Linked DNA regions of Pelodiscus sinensis. The protein of the gene in region 1 binds, or shares a complex with, the protein of each later gene. Links are inferred from orthologs where the notes say so. Each region holds a gene or a part of one and is shown on either strand. Other genes may lie near its edges. The genes, in order: LEPR and LEP.

Evidence for each region.
Region 2: the proteins of LEPR (region 1) and LEP are in contact, whole or in part, in a crystal structure (PDB 7Z3R), measured with the Mus musculus proteins. The link is inferred for Pelodiscus sinensis from reciprocal best matches to the Homo sapiens genes LEPR and LEP. Residues at the interface, in NP_666258.2 of Mus musculus: Tyr439, Leu440, Thr441, Arg466, Ser468, Leu469, Tyr470, Gln499, Pro500, Ile501, Phe502, Leu503, Leu504, Ser505, Val560, Phe561, Glu563, Asn564; in NP_032519.1 of Mus musculus: Lys26, Val27, Asp30, Thr33, Leu34, Lys36, Thr37, Thr40, Arg41, Gln92, Gln96, Asn99, Asp100, Glu102, Asn103, Asp106, Leu107, Leu110.

Annotation. Positions count from the first base shown.
Region 1 is NC_134719.1:18,301,998-18,313,156, forward strand, and holds the start of LEPR (leptin receptor), read left to right. Parts: upstream 1-4,319; 5' UTR 4,320-4,595; coding exon 4,596-4,598; intron 4,599-4,913; coding exon 4,914-4,959; intron 4,960-8,533; coding exon 8,534-8,824; intron 8,825-10,181; coding exon 10,182-10,305; intron 10,306-11,159. UniProt on the Homo sapiens protein: Receptor for hormone LEP/leptin. On ligand binding, mediates LEP central and peripheral effects through the activation of different signaling pathways such as JAK2/STAT3 and MAPK cascade/FOS.
Region 2 is NC_134711.1:14,358-25,516, reverse strand, and holds LEP (leptin), read left to right. Parts: upstream 1-3,908; 5' UTR 3,909-3,984; coding exon 3,985-4,020; intron 4,021-7,894; coding exon 7,895-8,071; intron 8,072-9,135; coding exon 9,136-9,498; 3' UTR 9,499-10,844; downstream 10,845-11,159. UniProt on the Homo sapiens protein: Key player in the regulation of energy balance and body weight control. Once released into the circulation, has central and peripheral effects by binding LEPR, found in many tissues, which results in the activation of several major signaling pathways.

The DNA.
Region 1 (11,159 bases):
TACGTCTACACTACAGTGCTAGTTCGAACTAACTTAGTTCGAATTAGTTAATTTGAACTAAGCTAGTTCGAACTAACGCATCTAGAACTAAAAACTAGTTCGAACTAGCGTTTTGCTAGTTCGAACTAGCAAGTCCACATTGAGTGGACTCTGAACAGGGCTTAAGGATGGCCGGAAGCAGTGCCGGCAGGGCATAAAAGGAGGACTTAGAGCATGGAGATGCTGTCTCAGGCTAGCCGAGGGCTGCGCTTAAAGGGTCCCGACGCCCACCCCGGACACACAGTTCTAAGGGGTGCCCCGCTTGCAAAGAAGTTTTGGCTTGGAGTGCCCTGAGTGCCCACACTGGACACATCACACCACTCGGCCATCAGCCCGGCTGCACTTGCCGCAGGCTGCCATCTGGGGAGAGGGAGTAATTGGGGGGCTGCAGGAGAGCTTCCACCCCCAGAAGCCCGCAGAGCCAGCCCAGTCCTCCCCATCGGGGGCTCGTACCCCATTCCTCCCTCACCTCCTTCCACTTACCCTTCCTTAGCCCCCCTTCTTATTGATGTACAAAATAAAGATAACGTTTCTTCCAACATTGACTCTGTCTTTATTGAAAAAAAACTGGGGGAGACTGGGAAAAGGAGGTGGGAGAGGGGAAGAGAAAGGCTGGGAGAAGGGAGGGCAACTAACATGATCAGGGGTTGGGAACAGGTCCCAGATGAAGAAAGGCTACAGAGACTGGGACTGTTCAGCTTAGAAAAGAGGAGACGGAGGGGGGACAGGATAGAGGTCTCTAAAAGCAGGGGTTGGGTGGAGAGGGTGCATTCAGAAAAGTTCTTCCTGAGTTCCCATAAAGAAGGACTAGAGGACACCAAAGGAAAGGAATGGGTAGCAGGCTTCAAACTAGTAAGAGAAAGTTGTTGTTCTTGACAAAGCAAATAGTTAACCCGTGGAACTCCTTGCTGCAGGAGGCTGTGAAGGCTACAACTAGAACAGAGTTTAAAGGGAAGTGAGATCAAGTCATGGAGGTTGGGTCCATGGAGTCCTATTAGCCAGAGGGTAGGAGTGGTGTCCCTGCCCAAAGTTTGTGGAAGGCTGGAGAGGGATGGCACGAGACAAATGGCTTGGTCATTGTCTTTGGTCCATCCCCTCCAGGGTCCCTAGGGTTGGCCGCTGTTGGCAGACAGGCTACTGGGCTAGATGGACCTTTGGTCTGACCCAGGACGGCCATTGTAAGCTCAGGGCTCAGGGTCGGGGGTCTCAGAGGACCCCCTTGATTTTCATGCACACCTGGTCCTGGGTGGCCAGGCTGGCAGCTCTCCTGCCCTAGACGGCCACTTTCCTGTGCCTAGTGCGGAGATCGTGGACGAGGTCCACGATGTCCGCACTAGCCCAGGAAGGTGCCCGCCTCTTGCGGTCCAGGGCAAACTCCCGGGAGCCGCCAGCCTGGTCCCGGCAAGAGGGGGTGGGCTGGGGGGCATCGGATGGGTGGCTCTGTGCCGTGCCAGGTGCAGGGTCTGCTAGCTGGGTGCTGGCAGGCTTGCACCTGGCACGGGCACCGTAGCCAGCCCGTGCCCCTTTAAGGGGTCCGGGGCCGGGAGGGGGGCATAGAGTTTCCCTGGTGTTGGCCAGAGTGGCCACCAGGGAAACCTGGGGAGGGCTAGCCTCCCACTAGTTCGAACTAAAGGGCTACACAGCCCTTAGTTCAAACTAGCTAGTTCGAACTAGGCGTTAGTCCTCGTAAAATGAGGTTTACCTAGTTCGAACTAAGCGCTCCGCTAGTTCGATTCAAATTCGAACTAGCGGAGCGCTAGTGTAGCACCTATTAAAGTTAGTTCGAACTAACGTCCGTTAGTTCGAACTAACTTTGTAGTGTAGACATACCCTCCGATACTTAAGTCACAGTCTTTTCTCTATGGCAGTTATTGATGGGAACTCTGTGACTGACAGTTCTCAAGGGAAAGCTCTAAGGACTTGGGTTAAGACCTGTTCTCTTGGCTGTGGGATTTCCTTCCAGGCAATGAAGATATATGCCAGAGTCAAGGTGAGATAATTCTATAGCACAATTGTGATAATATCTAAAAAATATGGAGAGTAACAATAATCAGTGTACTTCAGTGCAGTACATGTCTGATTTCCTGGCTCCCCCCCGCAGCCCAACTGAGCTGCATGCCAGTTCCCGGGACCCCCTTGTACTCCAACTGAGCCGCCCACCGGCTCCTGTGCTGCTCCCTCCTCCCACAGCCCAACTGAACCATGCCTGGATCTGATTTCTGAAAGTATGTTTTCTGTGCATCAGGAGCTAAATTTTCACACTGAAAATCAGGTGGTCTACTAACCCTCATCTAGCACCACTCAGGTCCTGCGGATGCTGGACCAGGGAGGTTCAACCTATATAATCATTGTGTAATATTAGTAGTAGTCAGTGGTTCTGTCATGTAAAACATCACCTCCCAATTTTGTCTGTTAGAAATACAGAAAAGAATGGTTAATTTTCATTATAGGTCTATGGTAATTCTGGACACATTTAGAGCAAGAGCTGTAATTTGTTTATTACTTCCAGACTTCGTGTCCATCTATTACAGAATGGACTACTGGAGGGAGAAGTGTTGGTAGTTATGTGTTCTATGTTAATATGACTCTGTGTTAACTCTGACTGATATGGGATTTCCCCTATAGCTCTGCAGAGTAAACCCAGCTCAGCTGCTTATGGTTTGACAGATTAGAAAAACACTGCCAACCAGAAGAGTAAATCTTCATACTGAGTAGAGGCAGTGAAATAGTAAATCTAAGAGATCTTGGAATGTAGCCCAAAATGTACTTTAATTTTTCCTTTATCTAGTTTTAAATTGTACGTCTTTAGCTCTTGTCTGTATCTGCAAACCATAACTCTATGTAATACAGTATAGAAGAAATGCCCTTACTGGGAAGAGTACTGGCACCATAGCCTTAATGAAGGGAGATAATCCCGTTGACTTGTTCTGAATCTGTTGTGTTGGAGTTTACTTCTTTCGGGAATTTGATATTCCAAGTAAAATTAATTGGACTAAATCTTTTCAAAGTCAGCAGATGACCTGTCTGGGATGACTGACAAAGCCAGCGACTCATTTGTATCTGTAATTCAGTCTATAGAATTGAACTCCTGTTGAAGATTGAGGGTTTGTTGATTACATAGGATAAAAGGTTGGAAAAATATGCAAATGTGACATGTCTTTAAGTCTGTAACAGGTAGACAGGAGGTAGTAGCGGCTGCAGGAAGTTTTACCTAGAAGCTCCACAGTGAGGTCAAAGAAGACCAGTGCTAGCTTTAGCAATAATACTGGTTTCTTTATTATAATAAAGTTTTATGTTCCATATTGGGAGATAACTTTCTGTAGCATTGCTGCTATTTAGAATTCTTGTTTGAGTCCCAGACCTTTTGAGTATCCTTGCCAAGCAGTGCACTGGAGGTTTGTAGGAATTGGGAAGGAATTCTGCTCTCTTCTCTTCCCACATGCAGGTTCCCTCTCTTCAGGCCACAAATTTGGCAGCAGATTGGTTGCACTAGTCCCTGTGGTCGGTGCACTTCTCAGTATCCTGCTTTATGCAGGAAATGAATTACTAGTGGCTCCATGTAGTCATGGTTATAAGGCCCCTAGATAACGAGATCCCCTATGGGAGCCTTGTTTATGCCGTAAGCAACACCTGATGGCATGGGAAGGATTCAGATTCAGAATGAGGTTTTGCTCTGTAGTATATAGTGGTTATGGATGTCTTTGGGGACGTGCCCAAATCATGATTTCTGATCCTGGGTTTATAGATTCCATTGCAGGTAGGGTTCTCAGTCCAGTATGAGGGAAAGTATGATCAAGCACAGGAGGGTGAATTTTGTTGGGAGAAAATTCAGGACTGAATAGTAAACTTACTGAAAAATGCTTTTGATGAGCCACTGAAACTGTTCACCAATTCAGGCTGAATGTAGCAAGACACTGCAGCTGAAAGAAGCCTGGAAACAAGAAAGAATGGTTGAAGTTCATTTTGAAAATGACAAAATAAACCATTTTGAAATGATATTTGAAATGGGTTGTTGAATGCAATCTCTCTCTCTCTCTCTCTCTCTCTCTCTCTCCTTTCTGTTTCATTGAGAATCTCAATTTTAGTTTGAAACAAGCCCATTGCCTTCAGATTTTTTAGTTCAGTTGCTGAACTAAAAGGTCAATTATTAGCTCAGCCCTACAGACAAGTTGTATGAATGTAAAACTCAAAACCCAAGACCTCTGCTGAATAATTCATACCTCTGCAGATATTGTAGATACATTGATCATAATTACAAACATCTTTTGTAATTGGGTGTGAGTAGAATTTGAGAGACTACATGGCAAAAATCTGAAATTGTACTAAGCAATTATGTTTTAATTGTCGTGCTTAACTTTCCACTGTTTAAATGACTTCTTTCTGACTGAAAACGAATTACAGAAATCATGGGGATCAAACGTGTGCTGTATATTGGAAATTGCTATCTCTGTCATTTTAACTGTGCAGATTCACAATATCTTGAAGGGGAAGAATAGGAAATAATTTGCTTGTGAGTCAGGAAATGCATAAGGAATGAAGAGCGCTTCCTAAGTGTAATGGTGAGAGATTGCCTGTTTGATATTTAATCAATACTCTAAGCAGTGTTTCTTTTCTGCTGTGATGCTGTCTGTTCTGTCTTCCTTCCTGTAAAAGAGCAAACATCAAATTAATAAAGCACACCATTATTTTTAATTTTAAGAATTATACAGAGCCATGGTATGTTTAAGGAATCTATATTTTCATAGGTTAACAACATTTAAAGAATAGGCTTTTAAAGGATGCCAAGATCAAACAGAATAATAGATGTACTTCTGAAATGGAAACAATCTCTTCCATTGTTTCTTAATTTATTACATTTTGGTTGTTTTTTTCAGAACAAGATGTATTTGCATAAACTTTTGACTGTGTTTCTGCACTTGGGTAAGTTGTACTGAAAATGTGGGTTTTTCTGAACATATTCTGTAGCTATTGACTTTGACAAAGTAAAAACTTGATTCTGCAAGATGCTGAATGCCCTCATTTCCAATGGAAACATTTGATGCACAGTACCTTACAGACTGGACAATAACTTTCTGATGAAAATAACAATGCAAGTGATAGCTGATCAATATCTAATTAGCTAGTTTTGATAAAAAAATGATTGACAAACCTGCAACTGTAATACATTTATTATAGTTAGTCAAGAGAAACTAGTGCAGCTCCCATAACTAGCATTCATACAGATAAGAATTTTATGGGCAATCTGGACCCCGCTGAAGTCAGAACAGAACTCATATTGACTTCAATGGAGTGAGGCTTTCACATGAAGTTGGTTGGTTTGGTTTAGTGCAAAAACATATCCCCCTACTTCATATACAGAATCGTTGGAATGAGTGATCAGTTTATGGTAAATATAATAGCTCAAATATGAGGACTTCATTTTTCCTTTCTGATGTAGAAGAAATAAACAGAGTAGATTAAATCAGATGTGCATGAATTTTCTCATGCACATTAATATTGGTATATGCTGTAGAACAGATTTCATTTCACTTGTAACTTTAGTTTAGTTGGCAAATTGTCCTTTTAAATTTCCCAAGATGTTGATGAAAGATAAAGTAGATATTTAAATCCAATGCACTATGTTGTTTCAAAAGTTGTTTCTCTCCAATCTTTGCAGCAGGTTTTCTTAGGCTTTTTCATGTCTTTATTTGTTCAATATCAAATGGGTCATTACATTGTCCCAATTTAATTCATATCTTAAAATTACCTGCATTTATAGAAATGTCTTTTAATTGGGCAACTAGAGCGCTCAGGGGACTTGAATTGGGAGATAGAGTTGTTTGTCTCTAGTCACTGGTCAGCAGATTTCTACTTGTACTGTTGCTTCTTATACTAGACCTGTTCTCTAGATAAATTCCTATATCGGTGACAAGTGAATATTCTTACTGTCTACTGATTTATAGAAAAAAGCATGTGTTTATTGAGGAATATAAAATACACAAGCCTGTGCTCAGTAATACTATTACAATTTTATTGTAGCTTATTCATTTCATTTACCTTTCTTGAAAAGGTATTGTAGCAATGGCATGCACATTGATCTGATGGGATTTGGTTGGTTTGTCCTGTGAGATTCTGCAGTGTGATTTGTCCTTCAAAATTAATATATATCTATATCTATATCTATAAGACAAACTGAAATCCCCTTTCAGTGCCAGCTGTAAAATGGGCAGCATATTAGTTGTATATCCTGACCCGTAGATAGTCATGTCCCTCAATTTGTTTTTGCATCATGGATAATGCACTAATATTCTGTTCAGTTAACTGAATTTTCTACATGGAGTCAGGGAACTTAATGACACTGATGTTTGACAAGGCACAGACTCTGCCTTGTTAAACAAGAGAAAATACACACCATTATGGGTACTGCTGATCATAAAATATGTATATCCAAAGAAACTGAACACTTCAGATACTGATGTGAATAACATGAATTTACCTATCAGAGGGGTAGCCGTGCATCTGACGAAGTGGGTCTTTGCCCATGAAAGCTTGTGCTCCAATAAATCTTTTAGTCTATGAGATGCCACAGGACTCCTTGTCACTTTTGCATAAATTTACCTAGAAACCTATTTTTCACTTTGCAGTGGTTTACTATTCAGTTTATGTAAATATTCTAGCAGATTGTGCTTGTGAAGACAAAAGACAAATACTCTCTTGTTTTTGTTATTGTGGGATCCATTTACAAGATGTTTAGGCTCAAGACATTTTTATGTAATAAACTGTAAATATTTCCTGCATGTTACACTAAAAACAAGGATACCTGTAAGCCAGTTACATGAATTTCAATAACTAAAGCTTTTTTTAATTCAAAGAGGCATATTTATCTTTATCAGAAGTATTATTAGCAGACTTCAGTCTCTGATTTACCAACAGAAGCCATGTAATATAACAAATGTGTTCCTACATTATATACAGTTTTTATTTTCAAGGCATCTAACCTTAATAGAAAATACCACCTTTTACTAGATATTATTTTCTATAAAATCAGTCTTTTGGGACTGTTTATCTACTTGGCCATTTTTGTAAAACACATTAAACATGGATTTAACAATTGTAAATAGTGTCTTGTAAAATCACAAACAAGTGTATGGTGGCAGCATTTAAAAACTATTACAATGAACAAAACCTGAAAGAAAAGACATCTGATAATTTTAAATGAAATCTTGGCATCATTGAAGCCCCTTGACACAACTTTCAATTACTTCTGTGTAGCCAGGACAAGGCTGCCAACTGCAGAAAACTGTTTTTATGGAAAGTATAGAAAAGAATTATGGACAACCAAACTTTTTATGGACATTCTTATATAATGTAAAGATGGCTCAAAAGGACAAAACTGAATAGTAGGCTGTTGTGATGTATGAATAAACACATTGAAAAGTTATTATGCTAGTTTAACTTGCCTACTAGCCACATCAGCATCCTCCAAGTTCTGCAGTTTGTGATCAAACATCGCAACAGTCACACTGTCAAACTTTGTATTAATAATGTTTTTTGACAGCCAATAATCCTTCCTGCATAGGACTTGACAGTTTATATCTCTCTCTATATATTAAAAAAACCTTTTCCTACGGGATGACAAAGTGATGGCATCACGTCACTCTACGTCCCCAGGAGCCCTGACCACATGACAGCTCTGTGAAATGGGGAGACAGTATCTACATGATTTTACAGATTCTATGCACAGGTCCAATTTTCACACGTTTTTTATGGACTATCTGTGAATTTACTGCTGGCTGACAACCCTGATTCAGGATTTCACATATTATCACTGTAGGTTTTTACATTATTATAAACACTAGAATTTCTTTTGCATGTCTTTAGAAAATGCTACAAATAACATTTTTAATGCAGTTTCTGTACTCACATGATGATATTCGTTAGCAAGGACAAAATATTTCTACATATATTATTAGTTAACAGAGAGTTAAGCCACAATATTAAAATTCAGTTTATGAACACCCCAAAATTGGGCATATCCAGGTTCTAAAAATTTAGAAGATAGCTGCAAAATGTGGACCCAAGTCTGGATTTTCAGACCTCACAGTTTGTGTGTGTTCAGCTTTAGGGCTAAATTTTCTCCTAAATTGATGCATCACCTTTGACTTCAATCCCTGTTTAATGTGTTAATTCTAATTAATTTGCAGCAGTTTACACCAGGAGACAACTATAGATTTTTCTCGTGTTGGCCTATCTTTGTTTTTGTTTTTTTCTAATGTGATGTTATATGCAGTAATTATAAAAAATGAGCAAAGGTAACTTTATTCAGGTATGAGGCATATGGGTGAGATCTGGAAGCCTAATTGAATAAATCTATGCTAATTCAGAGGAGACTGGCACTTGGAGATTCTTGTCTAATATTTTTAAGCACCTTTGTTTCCTTGGAACAGCAGCTAGTTTATTTTCATAGTTGCAAGTAGCGTAACTCATTTTCTTCTTTATATCTTTGTATTTCCAGATTTTATTCAGCTGGCAGTTTCTCACTGTATGGTACATCAGATTCCAGCATCAAGCTTTATGTTCCCTTGCATGTCACCAAATGAGACTTCTGGGGTTGTGGAGAGCAGTCCTGGGTCACCTGGAGAGCATGGAACTGCTGAAACCAATTCTCTGGTGCAGGTGGCTGAAGAGAGTTTGCTCTGTTGCCTATGGAATGAAACACACTCAGATTGTTCTTTGTACACAGCAGGCATTGAAACAAAGACATTTATTTCCTCAGAAGTAAATATCTTAGCACCTCAGCAAACAAGTAGGTTTCTAGTGTAGCTCTTTAAAGTGAGTCAATAATGGACATTGTGTTTTCTTTGGGTTTTGAATATTTTCTTATTGTTATCACTTGTTTCCATTTGTGCCTGGATTGTACTGGTCACTGTACAAACTTAAATGAAGGCAAATTTCTTGCCCTGGAGAGAGTGAAGAGTGCCAAGTAGAAAGGCAGACAAAAGATAGAAGTGGTGAATGGTCACGTGTTGATGATATAAATCCATTTTGTTAGTCATATAGATGACTGTCCTCAGTTGTCCCTTACTTTTAGCACTTACTTACTAGTTGGCCAACTTCTTGTGAGTGTCATGATAGAACTGGGTCTGCAGAGGCATGCTGAATAAAATGTAGATAAGGACATAGACATTTTGAATGGATTTTTAGCTTGAGAAAGTGAATCTTGCCCTGCCTTCAGGTCCACGGTATGTTATCATCCACTGTGTCTATACTTGCATCCTGTCATTTGAAAGATGGTTGTTTATTCCTCTTGCCCTCGTGCACAATGTACGTAGTGGGAAAGGTAATGCTGAAAGTCCAATTGAGATAAGCAAGGTCAAGATTTTATCCTGTATTTTCAGCACTGCCTCTGATCAGGTCTTCTTTTCAAGAAATGGTCAGAATTATTGTATTGATTTCTAATGCTGCAAAGAGGTGTTGTTCCTGAATGGTAGCAAAAAGATTAAAAATAATATTAGAAACTTAACATGTCCATTCATCTCCTACCCCCCTGCTAAAAATTGTCACTAGCTGCACATTAGAAAATTTGTTTAAACTATTTTTTGTGATTATAATATGTTAATTTTATGTCCTGTTCTGTACATTCTTTGGAGTAAGAGGCTACCTGGCGGATCATTAATTTTTAAATGCAGTATTTAACGTGGCAACATCTTAAATGCAACTGCTAAGATATTTAGGAACCTAAATCTTTTCTCAGAAGGATTTAGGCACTTAGGAAACAACTGTCAATATGATTTTGCTAAGTGCTAAAACCATTTGGAAATATATTTAGGCTCCTAAATCAGTTGGGCATTGCAATGCTGAATGCAGCAACACATATCTTTTAAAAATCAGGGCCTAAAGCCCTAATCTTGCAGACATTGCTTACTCGCTCACACAAATAGCCCGAAATTCCAAAGGACTAGTCACATAAGTAATATAATGCACATGATTTGCCTGGTTCGGACCCAATACAGTTATGAGAGAGTATTATTTTTGAAATGTCCTGGTTTTTCATTTTAGTGTAGCATATGTGCTAGAGCATAAGACTTACAGATAAATTTTATTTCTTTAAATGTCTTTGGTTTCAGTATGGTTTAGAAAATGTTTACCTCTTTTAAATATAGATTTAAGCTGGGACATTCAATGTTGGACTAACGGAAACCTGGAACTGTTAGTTTGTGTCCTGAAATTGTCTAACAAGAAGTCATATTTGAATGGAGAATTCAAGATTAATCTTTTGTATGTTCTGTAAGTATAAAATATATGACGCTTCCCATTTGTAAGGATATCCTAAAATACCAATAAAGGTCCTATGACTTTGTCATCGTATAGTAGTATTTGTGATCAGAAATGCAGTGGTAGCATTAGTCTGTACAATCATTACCTTGAAAGAAACTTACCAATTTTCTACTCCAGACTCCCTGAGAAATTGATTTACACATCTCCAAATTAATGACCTGCTGCTAATGTGTTAATTTTCCTCTCCAAAGATTATCTGTAGTACCTTTTGTTGTTGTTGTTGCTTTTTACCATTCTAAACTTATTTAACATTCATCACGTGGTGGTCAGTTTTTCCCCCCAGGAGTGAAGGTAAATTATAGTTTCTGTAGTGAGACCTGATGTTCCAAAGGAATAGTTGATTTCTTAATTTCATATTTTGTTAAAGGGGTAGTTTTCCTTGTTGGCTCACTGATTCCTTTCACATGCAGGCCAGAATAGTTTGAAAACAGTCCCAGTTCTAAAAGTATGCTTTCATGGCATTTGTTTCTCTCTGGGAGGCCTCAATTCAGTTACAAGTGCCAATATTCTGATATTTAGGCCATAAAAGCAATGAAAACAATGATCTTGTTTTGTTATTGTCTCCTCAATAGTTCACATATGGTCTTTTGACAGCTCAAGAGTTTCAGCCTTTAAAAAACATTTTTGATTCACCCTCCCACCCCCAAATATTATAGACTTCATCTAAAGTAGCTATGAATAGAAAGTGCTGCCCATGACAGAGCAGGTTTGAAGAAGAGACTGCAGTCAAATAGGACTCTGAAATATACTGCAGGAAAGATACTAGTAACAAGAGGGCTGCCAAGATGGAGATGATGTCGTTG
Region 2 (11,159 bases), on another chromosome or scaffold:
CCTGGCACGCTCCCCCCCAGCATCGGCCACAGGATCCCCCTCTAACTGGGTGGGCATCTGGCGACCCGGATCCGGCCAGCACCAGGACCCGCCAGTACTGATGGGAGGGGAGAGGCAGAAAATATGAAGCAACCTCCCCCCCCTTTTTTAAAGTGGGGACGCCTGCAGGTGGGCTTAAATACAGGACTGTCCCTTTAACAACGGCCCCTCCAGGCACCCTGGGCAGCAGAGATCCCAACATGCTGAGCAGAGCCGTCGGGGCCGGCGCTGGGGATAGCGGCAGATGCTGGGCCTGTGCCCAGAGCACACGGCAGAGTCCGCGCCGGCTTTCTGTGCACACCACAGGGAGGGGGAAAGGCAAAAGTCTGGGGGAGGGGCATTTTTTGTGGCTGGAACCAGGCAATTTTCCAGACAAACGTCGCTGGGCCCGGCCAGCGCTCACTCTGCCAGGCCACCCAAGGGCAGGTTTTGGCAACGCCCCTTTGGGGTGCACCAAGCCGTGGGGCCCAGCGGGGCCTGCCTAGAGTGACCGAGGGCTGTGCCGGAGAGCAGGGGCGGGGGGCAGACCCCTGGGCTGGAGCTGGGCGTGACTCGGCCTGGGGAAGGGGGTGCCCGCGGGCACACGGCCAGCCGCCTGACGTGGTCCAGTAAAGCCCCCGGCGGAGGCGTGCTCAGGCCTGTGCCGCCGGGGGGGCGCCCGGGCGGGGGAGTTGGGGGCACATGAGCGCCAGGCCCGGCCCGCTGACGTCACTGGGATTACTCGTGTGAGGGGGGTTGCTCAACTGAGAAAACCTGCCAGGGCCGGCCCCACCCGGTTGACACAGCCGAGGAGGAGCTGGAAAGAGGCACCGGGCGCCGGGCTGGCAGCCGGCGAATAACCCTGCGGCCCTGGGGACGCAGCCAACTGCTATTTCCTGCCAGAGGAAACGCGCTCCTGAGTGACGTTCCCTTCCCTTTCCCGCCACAGGAGTCACACCCTGCCCCCGGCCCAGCGCTTCCGAGAGCTCCCTGCCACGGCCCACGGGACGCTCCCCCAGCTCTGCCCTGGTTCATGGCCCCGGGAGCTCCCTGCTCAGTGCAGGAAGGTGGCCAGCCGGTCCCTGGCCTTGCCAAGCCTGGCACAGGCTGCAGGGGAGAACAACCCACCCCGGGCTGGACGTGGCAGGGCGCCGCGACACCCCAGCCGCAGCATCGGCTCTATGCTGAGAGCGACTCAGGCGGAGAGCCGCTGCCTGAGCCCGGGGGCACGGTGCCAGGCCGCAGCCCCAGGAACAGCGCCCGGACTCTGCCAGGGACTTAGGGGCTGTAGGTAATAAGAGCATCAGTGCGGCCCAAAGGTCTGCCCAGCCCCAGCTCCTGTTGCACAGCGCCAGGGCCAGCGGCCAGCAGCAACGGCGACCGGGGGCGAGCCTGGTGCCCGCGGTAATTGCGACAAGCTGGCCTGCTGGTTTCAGGGCAGGGGACTGGACCCGGCGGCTCTCGAGGTCCCTGCCAGTCCTAGTGTTCTGGGCGTCTGGTTCTATTCAGCCTTCCCCAGGCCTGCGAGGTCGCGCACCAAAGCCCCCGAGCTGCTCTGCGAGTTCCCGGGTGATCCAATCCTGTAAACTCCCCGGCACACCCCGGCGGGGGGGCTACAGCTCTGAGCATGGAGACCCCCCCGCGACAGACCTGTACGTGGCAGGCCAGGGGAACAGGCTGGCGCATGCTCGAGGGCAGCGGTGCCCAGTAGGAAGGGGAGTTAACTGGGCCTGTGTGCACAGGGGGCCTGTGGCCCTGGGAGGCGGCTCTGGGGTCCCTGCCCCCCCCCACCCCCCCAGGCACATTTTGAAAACGCAGCGGAACGCTGGGCTATTTTCAGCGCCCGTTGCCTGTTTTCTGGCTCACCGGAGCCGAAAGGGAACTGGGGCAGAGGGGGAGGGGCTGAGGATAGGAAGGGCTGCAGGGAGTCCTGGGGAGGGGAAGCAGCCCCTAAAACACCGCCCAGGGATTGGACCCAACGCTGCCTCTGTCCCCCCGAGAGCGGCGCCGCTGCGGCAAATGCGCCAGCTGGAATTTTGAATTGTTTTAACAACCTCCGCCTGCCGGGCAGCTTCCCGCGCAGCTCGGACTTTCCTTGCGCCAGTCGCTGCCTTCCGTAATGGAAAGGAGCTCAGAGCCCCCCACTCCGGCTGCTGTTCTCTTCACCCCTCCGCTAGCCCCCCCATCCTTACCCTCCCCTCCCCCCCGCGCAGCTTTTGAAAATATTGCGCGGCTCTGGGTGCCGAATGCAGGGAAGCCAGCTCAGCCAGGCTGGAAGGGCCCTGCCGCTAGCAGGCAGTTTCCGGGACAAGGGGGGAGCGGTTGCTCGGGGCCAGAGCGAGCTCGGGGTGTCTTTGGTGCAGGCCAGATCGGCCCCATGTTCCGAAGGTGCCGGGCTCCTCCGCAGCCCCGCGCGCCCCTGCCCCGTGGTGCGTCCCGCGTCGCCAATCCAGCGCGGGAAACGCGGCTGGGGCACGGAACTCGGACCCGGTCAAAGTGGAGTCCAAAGTCCCGGCAGGAAGAGCCCTTCATACGGATTCGCCCAGCCGCGAGCAGGGGAGGGGCCCGGCGTTTCTGTCCCACCAGAGTGCGGAAAGGACTCACTCCCTCCCTCGCAGCCGGGCCGGGCCCTGCGACAGACAGCCCGACAGATGGGGGCATGGGGGTAGGTGCCTGGTTGGACAAGCGGGTTTGGATGGAGAAATGGGGGTGGGGTAGATGGGGGCGGTGGAGGGGGGTGGGGGATGGATGGGTAGCTGAGGTGGCGGGATGGTTGGATGGGTGAGGGGTGGAAGGATGAGGGATAGATCAAGGGATTTCTCTCCTGTTGTCCATCTCCACCCTCTGACCAACAGAGGCCAGGGACCCCCTTCCTTACCCATCCTGGCAAGTAGCCACTCATGGACTTAACCTCCATTAATCTATCTAGCTCTTTTTTGAACCCTGTTAAAGTTCTGGTCTTCACCGCATCCTCTGGCGAGGAGTTCCACAGATTGACTGTGCGCTGAGTGAAGAAAAACTTCCTTTTATTAGTTTTAAACCTGCTGCCCATTCATTTCATTTGGTGTCCTCTAGTTATTCTATTATGAGAACTAATGAAGAACTTTTCTGTATTCACCCTCTGCCCACCACTCAGGATTTTACGGACCTCTCTCCTATCCCCCCTCAGTCTCCTCTTTTCCAAGCTGCAAAGTCCCAGTCGCTTTAACCTCTCCTCACATGGGACCCTTCCAAACCCCAAATCAGTTCAGTTGCTCTTCTCTGAACCTTTTCTAGCGCCGGCCTATCTTTTCGGAGAGGAGGCGAGCACATCTGCCCTGTGCTCCAGATGTGGGCGTCCCGTGGCTTTACGGAAGGGCAATAAACTAGTCTCCCTCATTCTCTAGCGCTTGTTTAATGACTCCAAACATCCTGTTTGCTTTGCGCCGGCCGCTGCGCACACGCCTTCCGAGAAGTGTCGGCGCGACTCCGGGCTCTCCCCGGGGTCCTGGGGCTGCATTAGCCCCTCTCGCTGGGCGTGTGCGTCACTTCCACTGACCCACCGCCCCTTCATTGGCCGTCGTGTTGCCCACTCGCTCAGTTTGGGGAGGCCGGGGGGAAGCTCTTCCCAGCCTGGTCGGTCTGGAGTCCCGGGGGCAGCTCTGTCTCGATCTCCGGCTTTGCCCCTCCCTGCTACCCCCTTCTCCGGCTCCTTCATTCATCCCTTGAATGGGGGGGTGGCTGGAGCGGGGAGGGGTGGGGGAGGGGCGGCGGAGGAGGGGGGGTGAGTGGGGGGGGAAGGGCGGAGGGGGCGCACGGCTGGGGTGGGGGGCGCTAGTCCCGGAGCGGGAGGCTGGAAGGGGCGCCCAAGACCCGCGGCGCGGCCCGGCCCGGCCCGGGGGGAGCCGGAGCCGGAGCCGGAGCCGGGGGGATGAGTAACCCTTGAGCAATCCCGCCGCGGCGCTATATAAGCCGGCCCAGCCCGACATGGGGCCAGCGGCGCGGCGGGAAGCGAGCCGGGAGGTAAGGTGGGGGGAGCCCTTCCCGTCCTGTCCCGGCCGGAGCCCCGCGCCTCTGCCCCGGCGCGGACTGGGAAGAGCCCCTCGGGGCGCGGGGGGGCGGGGACCGCGGCCCCGCGAGTGGGGCGGGGGCTGGGGGCAGATGAGGTCCCCGCCTGGCTCTGCCGGTCCCGGACGCGCTCCGTGCCTCAGTTTCCCCAGCTGGTAACTGGGGCTGATGCTCGGAGGTGAGTGGGAGGGACAGCGCCAGGTGGCAGTGTTGTGCGAAGCGGGGCGGGGGGGGGGGCTTTGCCCCTCTCGGAGGGGGGGAGAGGAGAGGAGGAGTCCTGTGAGCCCAGCTAGACAGGGGCATCCTGGGGAGGGGGGGCTGAGGAGAGAGCAGCCCAAAGCAAAGAAGCAGGTGAGAACGGGAGAAAGGCGTCAGGGAAACTGAGGCAGTGGGGGGAGGGGAGGCGAAGAGTGCCCAGGGGCCTGGGGCTGGCGTGATGCCAGCAGAGCCACAGTCCTCTCTTGATGTGCTGGGGGGGGGGGGCTGGTGCTAGCTCAGCCCAAGGCCCAGGGGGTGCAGCGGGGGGGAGGGGCAGCTCCCTCTGGGCGCTCGGGTGTCCCAGCCCTGCCAAACCACCCCGAGGTGCTACCCAGCCCGTGTGAAACTGCACCCAGGTGGGGGGGGCCCAAAGAGTCATGGGCGCAAACCGACCGGTCCTGAGTTCTCACCCGTGTCCCTCGCTGCCCCTCGGGGGTCTCCCAGGCCGGGTCTTGCTCACAGCTCCGGGCAGGCCCCCGGCCCCCTTCCCGGGTAACGCCAGGCGGCTGGAGGGGCACGCGCCCCCCGAGCCTCTGACCCGTCCCGCTGGGTCCCGGCAGGAAGGACCAGCCCGCTCCCCTCTCTGTTCCTGCGCCAGGGCGGGTGCCCGTGGGCTGTGCCTGGCACAGGGGCTCGGCGGAGGGGCCGGGGCCTGGCGAGCCGCTGAGGGGAACATTCCCTGCCACATGCGGACGGGCAGGGCTGGTGCGGGGGGCCGGGGCTGGCTGCCTGGGCAGCGGGCAGCGCGTCAGCCCAGCCGGACAATTCTCTGCCCCCATAACTGGGCACCGTAACGTGACCCGTTAGCAAGGCCGGACGCCTCTGGGCTGCCCGCCTCCCGCACGGCAGCGAGCGGATCAGAGGCAAGGGGGATGGGCACTGTGCCAGGATCAGAGGCAAGGGGGATGGGCACTGTGCCAGGATCAGAGGCAAGGGGGATGGGCACTGTGCCAGAACCCAGCTAGAGTCACGCGGGCCTCTGACCTCGGCCCCAGAGCGCTGCAAGGCCTCGCGGCTCCTCTGGCCTCCGTCCCGCCTCCCGCTTCAGCTCATCACCAGCCCCTCCCGGGCACCGCCCTGCGCCCACCAGTAGGCAGCGCTGCCATGAACCCCCCGGCAGGGACAGGGGAAACTGGCCGCACTGTGCACCCAGGAACCCTAAGGAACCCCTGGGGCAGGGCTGGCTCTAGCTTGCCTGGGGGGCGCGGCTGGCTCTAGCTTGCCTGGGGGGCAGGGCTGGCTCTGGCTTGCCTGGGGGGCGCGGCTGGCTCTGGCTTGCCTGGGGGGCGCGGCTGGCTCTGGCTTGCCCGGGGCAGGGGGGCTTTTCTGCAGGGCAGGAGGGACTAGCCGGGGGGCACGGGGAGCAGTCCAGGGCCCGGCCCCAGGCAGCTCTGCTGGGAATCCCGGCCCGAGGCAGGGAGCCCTGCCAGGAATCTCAAAGCGAAACCTTGACACAGCACAGAGGGTGCGGAGCCGCATGCGCCCCCGGCCAGCCCGCCCCTTCCCTGGAGCCGGGGAAGGGCGCCAGCCGGCTGCCAAGTGAGCCGCAGGGTGACCTGAGGACGTGGGGAGCGGCAGGGAGCTGCTCTGCAGGCCAAGGCCCTGCCGGGAGGGGCGAGCTTGCGGCTGACGGAGCAGCCTAGAGCCAGGAGCCCTTGGCTCCGTTCCTGGGGCTGACACAGCCTGTCGCCTGCGGGGAAGCCGTTCAGTCCGACCGCTCCCCAGCGGCTCCCCGCCCGGCCCACCTGCCGGCTCGCCAGCCCGGGGCTCTGTGGGGCAGAGCCTGGGTCCATGCAGCACCCGCCCCGCCCGGCCCACCTGCCGGCTCGCCAGCCCGGGGCTCTGTGGGGCAGAGCCTGGGTCCATGCAGCACCCGCCCCGCCCGGCCCACCTGCCGGCTCGCCAGCCCGGGGCTCTGTGGGGCAGAGCCTGGGTCCATGCAGCACCCGCCCCGCCCGGCCCACCTGCCGGCTCGCCAGCCCGGGGCTCTGTGGGGCAGAGCCTGGGTCCATGCAGCACCCGCCCCGCCCTGGGGCAGCTCAGCCAAACTGCTCCCAGCTCGGTCCGACCCCCGGGGAGGGCGGCAGGTGCCCGGGCCATGCAGCTGGAAACATCAGGCCTTTACCTCCAGGGAGAGCTCCTGGGCCCCTGGGGGGCAGGTCTGGGCCCTGGCTCCAACCGCGTCACGGGCTAAATATCCCCGAGGCAGATTCCAGGGGCTGCTTCTTCCTTGCGCAGGCAGAGCCGAGGGCGGCTGCAAACTGCCACCGGGCGGATTTGAACCTGGATCCTCTGGAGCTTCCTGTAGGAGCCTGGGCAGGTTGGCTACGTCTACACCACGAGTTTTCTCGGCACAAAATATGCTAATGAGGGACTCGTTAGCATGAGTCGCAATCTCATTAGCATATTTCCTGCCGTTTCTTTTTGCACAAAAAGAAGCAGCGTGGAGGGGGTTTTATTGTGCAAAACCCCCGTTTTGCGCAAGATCCTTGGGCCTCTTCGGGGTTTGGGACAGGTCCCATATGAAGAGAGGCTAAAGCGACTGGGCCTTTTCAGCTTAGAAAAGAGGAGACTGAGGGGGGATATGATAGAGGTCTATAAAAGCATGAGTGGTGTGGAGAGGGTGAATAAAGAAAAGTGATTTACTCGTTCCTATAATAGAAGGACTAGAGGACACCAAATGAAATGAATGGGGAGCAGGTTTAAAACGAATAAAAGAAAGTTCTTCTTCACACAGCGTGTAGTTAACCTGTGGAACTCCTTGCCAGAGGAGGCTGTGAAGGCCAGGACTAGAACAGAGTTTAAAAATAGTAATAGAGATGTAGCCGTGTTAGTCTGGCGTAGCTGAAACAAAAGACAGGACTGTGCAGCACTTTACAGGCTACCAAGATGGTGTATTAGGTGAGGAGCTTTCGTGGGCCAGACCCACTTCCTCAGATCAAATAGTGGAAGAAAATTGGCACGACCATATATACCAAAGGGAGACAATCAAAAAAATGAACACATGTGAAATTGACAAACCAGATTTTAGAACAGAAGCGGGTGGGGGGGGGTTAGTGTCTATGAGATGATGATATTGGGGTGATAATTGGGGAAGCAGATAGCTAATAACATTATCTCATAGGCACTAACCTCCCCCCTGATCATTGTCTTCGGTCCACCCCCTCTGGGGCACCTGGTGCTGGCCACTGTCGGCAGACAGGACACTGGGCTAGACGGACCTTCGGGCTGACCCCGTCCGGCCGTTCTTATGTTCTTATGTTCTCTCCCGCAAAGGCATAAAAATCTTGTGCAAAATGGGGGGGTTGCACAGCCCCCTCCCCCCAAAGTGCACAAAAAGCGCTTGAATGAATTATGCAAATGAAGCGTGGCGATATGCTAATCCACACTTCCTTTGCGTAGGCTCTTGCGGCAAAAGCCGCAGTCTAGACGTAGCCCTGGAGCGATGACGCCGGCTGGCGCTCAGCTAAGGCGGTAGAGCTCCCTTGTTCGTCTCTCCCCTGGACGTGGGTTCGAGGGGTGTGTCACACAAACACGAGGGTGTTTCACAGCCCCGCTCTCGCCCACGCAGGGCCTCGGCGAAGAAGGCAGGAGGAAGATGCAGCGTCCCCCCTTGCCGCTCTGCGGGCTGCTCTGGGTCGGGGTCTGGCTGCCCCTCTTCTCCAGCCGGCCGGTGAAAATCGACAAGGTCAAGGCCGACGCCAAAGCCCTCACGCGGATCATCATCGCCCGCATCCCGGAGCAGCAGGTAGGAGGGGCGAGCCAGCGGGGGCCACGGGGCTGCGTGTCACCCGCGGGCGCCAGCAGACTCCCGGGCCAGCCCCCAGAAGGTGCAAATCGGCGCCAGCCTAGAGAAGCCAGGGGGATGCCGGTGGCAGGGAGAGATTGAGGTGCCACCCAGCTGATGAGCCGAGCACCCACGGGCCTCCAGAGCAGGTTGCATGTGTTTCTATCGGTGGTGCACATCTGCTCTTGCCTTGGTGCACACAGCAAACGTTATTCCGCACAGAGGCGGACAAATTGGAGGGAGCCTTAAATCCACAGTCCTCCCTGGGACAGCTAACCTCCGAGGCCGGGCTGCTGGGTGTCCCGTCCTGGCGGCTAGCACCCCCTGCTGCTTTGGGCCCCTTGTCCGCTCCCGCACGGGGCCGCTAGCTCCTTGCTCTGCAGGGCTCCGTGTGCATCTCGCACGCCCACCCTGAGCCCTACGGACCTGCACCTCGCAGCCCCTGGCTCCGCGAGCCGCTTAGCAGGTGCCCAGGACAGCCTAGTGGCTCAGCTAGAGGATGGAGCCAGCTCCAGGGCCCGTCCTTCCTCCCGCCCCAAAGTGAGTCGCTCGCTGCCACGGGCTGCAAACTTTCTCCTGCCTGTGCCCCTTGCATGCCATGGCACCGTCCCCTGTCATGTGTCCTCTCCTGCGTGCGGAATACATTTTGTTCTGCGCAGCGAGGCATGTGAGGGGGTGCACCACCTGCTGCCAACTGTGATAATCCTCAGTGGCCCCCAAGCACCCAGCTTACAGGGGATACTGGCCATGACCTTGCCCCCTCCCCCGCTGGCTTGGGACCCCCCAGGGTAACTCTGGGTGAATCCAGGGCAGGGGGCCTCAGGATGCAGATGGAACCACCCCCCCCCCCCGGTCATGGGCCCCTCCCCTCCCTGCTCTGTGCTGCCGACAGCCCCTGGAAAGGGGGCCCACCCGTCCCAGCTTGGCCCCAAGAGGAGCTGTCTGGCCTAGTGGGGGGGCAGCCCCGGGGAGAGGAGAGAGCAGCCCTGCACCTGCCTGGCTGACCAGCCTTCTCCTCCGCCCAGCCCTTGCCTCTCAACCTGAAGATCAACGGCCTGGACTTCATCCCGGGAGAGCAGCCCCTGGGGAGCCTGGACTCCATGGACCAGACCTTGCAGCTGTTCCAGAGGCTCCTCCCCAGCCTGGCCTCGGAAAACGGGCCGTTAGCCCAAATCGCCAACGACCTCGAGAACCTCCGGAGCCTGCTCCAGACCCTGGCGTCCCAGCTGGGCTGCGCCATCCACAGGGCCCCGGCGCTCGACGTGCTGGGCAACCTGACGGAGCTGCTGGCCACCTCCTCGTACACCGTGGACGTGGTGGCGCTGGCCCGGCTCCGGCAGAACCTGCACGGCATCCTCAAGCGCCTGGATCGCCTCCAGCACTGCTAGCGGGGACCGGCCGCCGCACGGCGCCAGAGCCAGGCCCCCCTGCGCTGCGCCGACCGGCAGCGTCCTTCCCCCGCCAGCGCGGCACGACGATACCGGAGCCCCGGACTCGAGCCAGGCCTCCGCACTGCCGGTTGAGCAAGGAGCAGCGCACGGAGCCCTTACTGCCCGGTGCTTCGCGGACAGTCTGAACTGCCGGCAGGAGCAGAGGGGCCGGGAGCAAGTTTCCAGGATTTATTTATTCTTTCGATTTTGTGTTTAATTTAAGTTTGAACTGGGCTGCACTGACCCAGCTGCCTGTCTAGGGGCAGCCCCCCGCTGCGGGAGGAGAGGGGCGGTTAGCGGCCCTCCTGGCTCACTCGGAAGGTCCCGTCCGCCCAGAGGGAGGGGGCGGGTGGAAGCGCCGCGGCGGGGCAGACTGGTCCTGCCGCGGGCGGGGGGCTGGACGTGGTGACCTCCCGCGGTCTCCGCCAGCTCTGGGATGCTACGACTCTGTGACGTGCGTATTTATTTCTGCTGTGCTCTGGTTGGAAGTAAAGTGAATCCCTTTGCAGCTGACCTGTCCCCAGTGGCCCTGGCGAGGGGATTTCGTGGCCTTTCCGTTCAGAAACTCGGGCAGACTTTGCGGGGGGAGGCGCCCGTTCTGCACACGGATCCGCCCTGCGGGTCCCTGCGCTTTGGCTCCGGCCGCGGCAGGGGGTGACGGCGCGGGGGGGCCCCCGACCCTGCTCCCCGTCCGCAGCCAGAGGGGACTCCGCCGGGCAGTAGGACGGGGAGGGGTTCTTGCCTCTCGGAGGCCCAGCCCGGCCCCGGTTCCATGTGGGCAGCGGAGTCAGGGCCAGGCAGCCTCAGACCCCTCGGGCGGGTCCACAGGCCCCTGAGCCCCCAGTGCTCGACTTAGTCTGTTCTCTCCACGTGTGCCCAGCCGCGACTGCCCCCCCAGCCACCGTCACTCACCCCCCCAGTAGCCCCCCCTCCTCTGTTCAAACCCCTCCCCCTCGCCACGTGGGCTGTTGCTGGGCCATGGCCTCCGTACCTGCCCCCAGGGACCCCGCTGGGCCCTGCACACAGACATGGGCCAGTAGGGGGCACCCCAGCCCAACACGGCCACCAGTGCCTGCCCCGCCGGCGTGGGCCCAGGGCCACAGGCGTGGACAGCCCCTCCCCCCCACTATGTCACACAGGGCTCTGGCCCCAGGGCGGGGGGAGGGCGGTTCGGGGCCTGGCCTGGCCGGCAGAGCTGGGGGCTGGATTTACTCTGCCAGGGCAAGGGAAGGTTTTGGCGCGGACCGGCCCTTACACGGGCCCAGCACTTCCCGACCGAGGGCTCAGAGCTCCGCCCCGGGGCCCTTCCCCCTCCGCTCTGCCCCTTGGCTGCTGCCCGGGGGGGCAGGCGGGACACAGCTGTGCGCACGGGTCACCCACACGCCTGCTGGGGGGTCACTGGCCCAGGCAGGGCCCTTAGCGACCGAGAAGGAGTTTGCAATGTGGCCTTAGCTGGGCGCCGGCCGGCTTCTCCCTCTTCGTGCACTGAGCTCCTGAGGCCCCCGCTCGGTTCCCGCAGGCCTTACACAGTGACCATGGGGGCAGGAATGGAGGGGGCCTATGGAGGGACAGGTGCCTAGCTCCTGGGGTGTCCCCTGCCCCCCCACACAGAGGGGCAG